2 linked regions of the Macaca mulatta genome follow. The protein of the gene in region 1 purifies or fractionates together with the protein of each later gene. This does not show direct contact. Links are inferred from orthologs where the notes say so. Each region holds a gene or a part of one and is shown in the gene's direction. Other genes may lie near its edges.

Evidence for each region. The genes of interacting proteins can lie anywhere in the genome.
Region 2: the proteins of CLTA (region 1) and CLTCL1 purify together in Homo sapiens (co-immunoprecipitation; 3 studies listed by BioGRID and IntAct, with this or other methods). This does not show direct contact. The link is inferred for Macaca mulatta from reciprocal best matches to the Homo sapiens genes CLTA and CLTCL1.

What each region holds. Positions count from the first base shown.
Region 1 is NC_133420.1:63,449,058-63,453,350, reverse strand, and holds the start of CLTA (clathrin light chain A), read left to right. Parts: upstream 1-1,404; 5' UTR 1,405-1,498; coding exon 1,499-1,715; intron 1,716-4,293. UniProt on the Homo sapiens protein: Clathrin is the major protein of the polyhedral coat of coated pits and vesicles.
Region 2 is NC_133415.1:33,476,334-33,479,982, forward strand, and holds part of CLTCL1 (clathrin heavy chain 2), read left to right. Parts: intron 1-1,446; coding exon 1,447-1,584; intron 1,585-3,649. UniProt on the Homo sapiens protein: Clathrin is the major protein of the polyhedral coat of coated pits and vesicles. Two different adapter protein complexes link the clathrin lattice either to the plasma membrane or to the trans-Golgi network.

The sequences.
Region 1 (4,293 bases):
GATGAGCACAAAACAACAGACAGGGGAAACAGAATCAATTGCAGACCCTAACATTTTAACTTTCTTAAATGTTTTTCTTCAATACTTTCCTATAGCTCGTACTTTAAATGACTTTAAAATTATGCTTTAAGTAAACATAGGCTTTAAATAGTTTTTATTTGCTTCATTTTTCCTTCATAACTATCCCTTTTTTTGTCATCAAAGATATGTGCGTTTTTTTAAAAAAAAAAAAACTTTCTTGTCCCCTGCTATCTCTGGAAGCTTCTTGTTGACCTCTGGCTGGTTTTTTGGTTTCTTTTTTTGGCTTTTCATTTCTTAGGGAGGTGGTGGTGGTAGTGAAGGAGGTCTTCTGGTGGCCCCTGCATCAGCGCACCCCCTCAACATGAGCATGATTAACTGGAATCACTGTTATTTCTACGGTGTAGACAAAATCAGCCATGTAGCTATTAACATCTCCCCGATTTAAAAAGAAACACTGAACTTTCTTTTTCCTGCTGTCCTTAGCGAGGAAAGGTGTAAACACAAGAGACTGTAGCTAGTATCTTGGAAGTCCCCAGGAGACAGGCGTTTCCTCTTGGTCACTGACTCCCTGGGTGACTGACGCCCCTTGAACAGCAGGGCCACCGTGTTTCCCTTTGAAGCAAGTGATCCTTAAGGAATTTTCCAGGTTTAGTAACTTCTGTCTAGCTCTGAAAAGACGTAATGGCTGCAAAAGTGCTTCGTTGAAGAAAATAAGATATATTCATTTTTAAATAAAAATACTTATGGGCGAGAAAAATCGGAGTGGACTGAATCAATTACAGTAAATCTGTGGGCTCTAAGGGAGCAAATAATCCAGGCTGGCTGAAAGAGTTAAATATTTTAAATTTATAAAGCCAGGGCAAACACATAAAAGGATTCAATCTTCTTCTTCTTCTTCGTTTTTTAAGGATTCAATCTTCTAACAATCCCGGGAGGGGGGCAAGAGCAGGGTTCTTGTTTCCATTTTAAGAATGAGGAAACTGAGGTTCAGAAAGCCTAAGTGGCATGCCTCTTTAGTAATCGGCCAATCGTCGCCGCCTAACTTCACCTCACCTCCCAGTACAGCACTCGAGTCCCCTCAGGGGTGGCCGTCCCTGGTCAGTCCAGCTCCAGCAGGCCGGGACGGTAGGACGTTCCCTGTCAGGCAGCACTTCCGCCTCCCGGGGCCCGTGCAGCTCACCTCCTTCACCTCCCGCGCTACCCCAGTCACGAGTTGTTTTCGGGGGCCCGCCCCTCCACTTGCTGATTGGGTAGCTCCTGAACCATTGCTGTCCTCTGATTGGTTGTTCCTTTTTTGGTCTCCAACACCGCCTAGACCGACCGGATACACTGGTAGGGCTTCCGCTTCCCCCTTCTCCCTCCTCCCGCTTGTCCTCCTCTCCCAGTCGGCACCACAGCGGTGGCTGCCGGGTGTGGTGTCGGTGGGTCGGTTGATTTTTCTCTCACCGTTGGTGTCCGTGCCGTTGAATTACCCGCCATGGCTGAGCTGGATCCATTCGGCGCCCCTGCTGGCGCCCCTGGCGGTCCCGCGCTGGGGAACGGAGTGGCCGGCGCCGGCGAAGAAGACCCGGCCGCGGCCTTCTTGGCGCAGCAGGAGAGCGAAATTGCGGGCATCGAGAACGACGAGGCCTTCGCCATCCTGGACGGCGGCGCCCCCGGGCCCCAGCCGCACGGCGAGCCGCCGGGGGGTCCGGGTGAGAGTGCGGTCGCGTTTGGGGCGAGAGGACTTGTCTGGAAACTCGGCCCACAGTGGGTCCGAGAGGTTCTGTGTGACTTGTGCTCCTTGCTGAATTAGGAGGTTAGGGAGCAGTGCAAAGAGGAAACGAGACCCTGGCCCAGTCATGCAGAAACCTAGGCTCGAGAAGCCTGCTCGGTTCTCAGCGTGTTTGAGTGCTTCTGGGCGCGGGCGGAGCGAGAAAGCAAGTATAGGGTGGCAGGCTTCGGAGCCGGAAGAAGCCCGTTCAATTCAGCAACTTTTCATTAAGCTCTTGCTGTGCCTTTAGTCCGGTCTCTGAAGCAACCGCATTGGCGCAGTTTTTCCAGACTTATAAGCAAGTCTGAGCCGAGCACAGAACTCCAGTTATTAGAAAAGGAGGGCAGAAAAAAAATAAGAATGGAAATACTGTTTTTTGAGAGATACAAACAAAAGTAGCAATGCAGTTCAGCATTTAAGCACTTAAGGTGTACAGAGTGTTGGATTACGAGGAGGAAGGAGTGAGTAGGGAACTCAGGAAAGATGGTCTAGGTCTGGAGAAAGAACTGCCAAGCGGGATAGGAGTTTACCATGGTTGAGCGATTGATTTACAGCTAGGACTTATGGAGCTCTCCCTCTGGGAACAGCTTTGGTAGGCAATATTGCCTAAGTAGAACCCACGATTAGCCTAAACTAATCGGGGAGGGATGAAGAGGTGAATAGAGAATGTTCTCAGCCAAACTCAAGTAAAAATGGGGCAGGTAGGATGGCAGTTTGACTTTTGGATGCTTACCTGTGTGTGATGCTTAGGATCATGAGTGGAAAAGACCTATTTAATAATACAGAGAAGTAGGAAATTCAGCCAGAAGAAATGAAATACGGCTTTTCATTCACTTAAAAATTTCCAACTAAGGGAGAATAGCGCACTATTGGGGCATATAGGAGTAGTGTCTACACTAATCTGATTTCAAACCTTAAGGGGCCAAGTAGGTAACATATACGAGAGAAGCTGACTTGACATGAGACAGTAGAAGTGTTGGAGACTGGGACTTTGGTGCACTATAGTAGTGCTCTGTGTAAAGGCATTCAGACCCAGCAATCTCAAGTCACTATGCCAGCCAGGCAGAACCTTTCGATGGATGGATTGGGGAGGGTGCTGCTAGTTTGCAGCCTCTGAGTTTTTGACTGCACCATGTTGCTTCCTAAGCAAATCAGTCCCCTAATAAGAACTTAGTGGGAACATGTAATATGCCCAAATATGCAACTTTATAGCAAGTAGGTTGGACTGAACTGGACTGTGATTGCGAGATGAAGTTGGCCTTAAGTGATTAGGAGATATTTTCATTGGGTGGTCTCTAACATTTGTCTGAGAATTTTAAAATTGACTTCTTAGATCCTTAGTTTACCTTCCTCGTTTAGTAGAAGAGAAACAATCCTAGAGAGAAATAACTTGCTTTAAAAAGCACGAGTTAATAGATGAGCCCCAAGTCTACCACATTCTGTTGTAGTGTTTAGTTGTTTTAGCCGGGGTGTGGTGCGGTAAGAGACAGGCAGTTGTGGCTGTCCCAGGTAGAACAGATTTGGGAGAAGCAGGACCCAAGATCTATAGTTGGAAGATTGTCCTGATTCAAGGACAGTGTTACCCTTACTGTTTTATCTCCACTACCTAGCAGTGTGTCTGACATGTAGTAGATGCTCACGTTTGACAGAGAAATGGGCAAAAATGTCAGATCCAAGGGTCCTGTGTAGAACTGACAGATCTTGGTGACAGGCAGTTAGGGAAAGTAAAAGGAAGAGAATAGAGTTGGATACTTGCGTCCTTTGTGCATCAAGCCTTCAGCAAAGGGAAGGAAAGAAATGGTTGCTGACTTAGTTCCTAGGAAGGACTTTCTTAGTGAACTAAGCATTTGGTGACTTAAAGCCAGATTCCTGACAGTGTAATTGAGGTTGGTAATATGCAGTGGTCAGCATTTCCTTTGGGGATTAGAGAACTGATTGGACACTTTTTCTCTCTTAGTTTTCTTTTTCCTTCTTTCTTTTTTTTTAGGATATGCTCCAGTGGTTAAGACTCTATGCTATCCTGGCCGGGCGCGGTGGCTCAAGCCTGTAATCCCAGCACTTTGGGAGGCCGAGACGGGCGGATCACGAGGTCAGGAGATCGAGACCATCCTGGCGAACACGGTGAAACCCCGTCTCTACTAAAAAATACAAAAAAAACTAGCCGGGCGAGGCAGCGGGCGCCTGTAGTCCTAGCTACTCGGGAGGCTGAGGCAGGAGAATGGCGTAAACCCGGGGGGCGGAGCTTGCAGTGAGCTGAGATCCGGCCACTGCACTCTAGCCCGGGCGACAGAGCCAGACTCCGTCTCAAAAAAAAAAAAAAAAAAAAAAAAGATTCTATGCTATCCTAAACTGCTTGAGTGTGAGTTTAGCTTTGTGATCTCAATGTATATAACTACCACCACTGCCCGGCCTCAGTTTTCTCCTTTGTAAAAGTTGCATAATATAATTTATAATGCTATGTGGCATCTTTAGGATTACATTAAAGAGTGTCTATAAAGTGCTTACAGTTATATAGTAAG
Region 2 (3,649 bases), on another chromosome or scaffold:
AAACTTAGCCAGGCGTGGTGGTGCACACCTGTGGTCCCAGCTACTCAGGAGGCCGAGATGGGAGGATCGCTTGAGCCTTGAAGGTTGAGGCTGCAGTGAGTGGTGACCTTGTCACTGCTTTAGCCTAGGCAATAGAGTGAGACCCCATCTCAGATATATGAGGGAGAATTGGCTCATGATTATGGAGGCTGAGAAGTCCTGTGATAGACTGTCTGCAAGCTAGAGGAGACGTTGGATTCCGGTAGCGTGGCTCAATCTAAGTTTGAAAGTCTCAGAACCAGGGAGGCCGATGGCGTAACTCTCAGTCTGAGGCCAATGGCCTGAGAACCCTGGGGGGCCTTTGGGGTAAGTCCTGGAGTCCAAAGGCTGGGAAGCCTGGAGTTCTGATGTCCAGAGGTAGGAGGAGGAGAAAGTCCCAGCTCCAGGAGAAAGAGAGAAGAAATCTGTTCTTTCCTTTTTTGTGCCCCCAGCTGATTGGATGGTGCTCCCTGACATTGAGAGTGGATCATTCCTACTTGGTCCCCCAACTCACATGCCAGTCTTCTCTGGGAACGCCCTCACAAACACACCCAGAAGGAATGCTTTACCTGCTCTCTATGTGTTCCTTAATCCAGTCAAACTGACACCTAAAGCTAAGCATCACAGCTGCCTCTAGGATGTGATTAAGTAATGTATGATTACTGCTTGGATCACTTGAGAGGATTCTGGGGGTTCATATGTTATAAAAGTCACTCCCTTTCATATACTTCGGTAAAATACCTCACTGATAGGTGTGATGTAGGTGATATGATTTCACAAGATTATCAATAAATTAATGGCCATAAATTACGTGAATTGTGTTGTTGTTGTTGTTGAGATGAGGTCTCTGTGTTACCCAGAATAGTCTTAACTCCTGGGCTCAAGGAATACATGCATCCACCTCAGCCTCCTGAGTAGCTGGGACTCTAGGCACACGCCACCACACCTGGCTCTATGTGAATTGTGATGACATAAGAAAATGCAAAGGGGCCAGGAGCAGTGGCTCACGCCTGTAGTCCCAGCACTTTGGGAGGCCAAGGCGGGCGGATCACCTGTCAGGAGTTCGACACCAGCCTGACCAACACGGTGAAACCCTGTCTCTACTAAAAATACAAAAATTAGCTGGGTGTAGTGACAGGTGCCTGTAATCTCAACCACTTGGGAAGCTGAGGCAGGAGAATCGCTTGAACCCAGGAGGTGGAGGACGGAGGTTGGAGTGAGCTGAGATTGTGCCTTCGCACTCCAACCTGGGTGACAGAGTGAGACTCCATCTCAAAAACAAAACAAAACAAAAAACAAAGGAAGGAACTAATTGTTGAATTTCTAAATGAGATAATGAGATAATATTTCAGGAACTATTTCAATACGAAAATGAAACACTATGAATGAAAACACACTGAGTGAAAATGTGGCTTGGATATGTTTCAGATTGTGGACATTTTCATGGAAAACAGTTTAATTCAGCAGTGTACTTCCTTCTTATTGGATGCCTTGAAGAATAATCGCCCAGCTGAGGGACTCCTCCAGACATGGCTGTTGGAGATGAACCTTGTTCATGCACCCCAGGTCAGTGACATTGTAGGCTAACACCGAGAGGCAGAGCACCTGTGGCACCCCTCTGTGGGTTTGCAGACTTGAGCACAGTGGCTTTGGACTGGACTGGGCTTGTGCCAGATGTTTATCTTGTACTTCTCAGTGAACATTCTCCATGACTCCCCTTAAAAGAATTTTCCAGAAATCATGGTATAGGACTTTCATGGAAACAGTTATAATTGGGGCATCATATTTTTCTTTCTTCTTTTTTTCATTGTGGTAAAATATACATAACCAAATTTACCATTTTAACAACTTTTAAGTGTCTGATACAGTGGCATTAAGAACATTCACAATACTGTGCAACCATTACCACTATATGGTTCCAGAACTTTTTATTATCCCAGAGTAACTATGTAACTGTTAAGCAGTGACTCCTCATTTCCCAGCCCCTGACAACTGCCATTCTAATCTGTCTCTATTAATTTGCCTTTTCAAGATATTTCATATACATGGAACCACAAAATGTTTGTCCTTTTACCTGGCTTTTTTCACTTAGCGTATTATTTTCAAGGTTCATCCACGTTGTAGCATATGTTAGAAACACCTCCATTTTAAAAACTGAGTAATTGTCCACCATGTGTATATATGACTTGTGTTTATCCATTCATCCATTGATGAACATTTGGGTTGCTTCTACCTTTAGGCTATTGTGAATAATGCTGCTGTTCACATGGGTGTACAAAGATTTCTTTGAGACCCTGCTTTAACTCTTTTGGGCATATACCTAGAAGTGGATTTGCTGGATCATATTGTATTCTATGCTTACCTTTTTGATGAGCCACCATACTGTATTCCAGGAGGCTGCACCATTTTATATTCTTCCCAGCAATGCTCAGCAGTTCCAACTTCTGTATATCCTTGCCAACACATTTTCCCTGTCTAAAATAATAATAGTAATCATCTTAATGGGTGTGCAGTGGTATTGTGGTGAGGCATCATTTGTTGGCCTGAAACTTGTGGGAGGAAGGTATAATCAAATCACATGTCTGTGCTATTTTGGGTTAAATTTAGATATATATACAAGAAAGGGATTTAGAGGAGTTTGTATCAAGCTGTTCACGGTACTAAGTGGATAAGATTGTACAAGTTCACTTTGTTCTTTACTTCTCTCTTCTTTTTTGTTTTTTCTTTAATAATCACTTATTGTTTTTATAATTATAAAACAACATATTAAGTATATTGTTCTGTTACCTCAATTTATTCAAATCCACAGGTTAGCTGCTAAGAAGTGGGTCATATTCCAACTATAGGAAATTAAAGTGCTGTTAATTTGCTGCTTGGGGTCTATTGGACTCTCATGACTTTGTGAGTGTATGTAATAGTTTTTGGTGAATGAGATTTGAAACACACCAAGCGCCACTCAGAAACCTGGCAGACACCCAAAGGAATGCCCAGACCTTAAGGGGTGCAGGACAAGCAAGTAGTTGGGTGAGGTGCCAGCAGGCTCTGGCTTAGTGCCCCAGGATGCTGGCAGTCTTCTCTGGGCAGTGGGACTGCATGATGGTTTCTAAGTTCTCTAAAATACACTGTTGCTATGATGAGAAAATGTTTAAAAACAAGAAGTAAAGATAAACCTGAAGGAAACAAAGGATAGGAGACTCAGGTAAGTGCTAGGTGTTCTAAAGCCCTACTCTTAGTACTTGGTTTGGATCATCAACTCTATGGGGAACCAGAAGTGTGCATCACTCTGAAGTCGTCTGGTGTGTGACAGGGGCTGTGGTCACTCAGTTTGGCCATACCTGGTTGGTGATGCAGATCCTTGAAGGAATAAGAAAGAGTGTGCTGGGTGGCAGGGAAGGCACCCAGGAGCGTAGCTAGTCAAGACCAGCATTAGATACTGAGCGAGCACTCATTCAGCCATGCTGCAAGGCTACTGTGTTGACCTATCCAGTCTTAGTCCAAAAATTACTTACTTAAAGAGAATATTTAGTGGCTGGGTGCAGTGGCTTGCGCTGTAACCCCAGCATTTTTGAAGGCCAAGGTGAACAGAGCCCAGGAGTTTGAGACCAGCATGGACAACATGGCCAAACCCCAT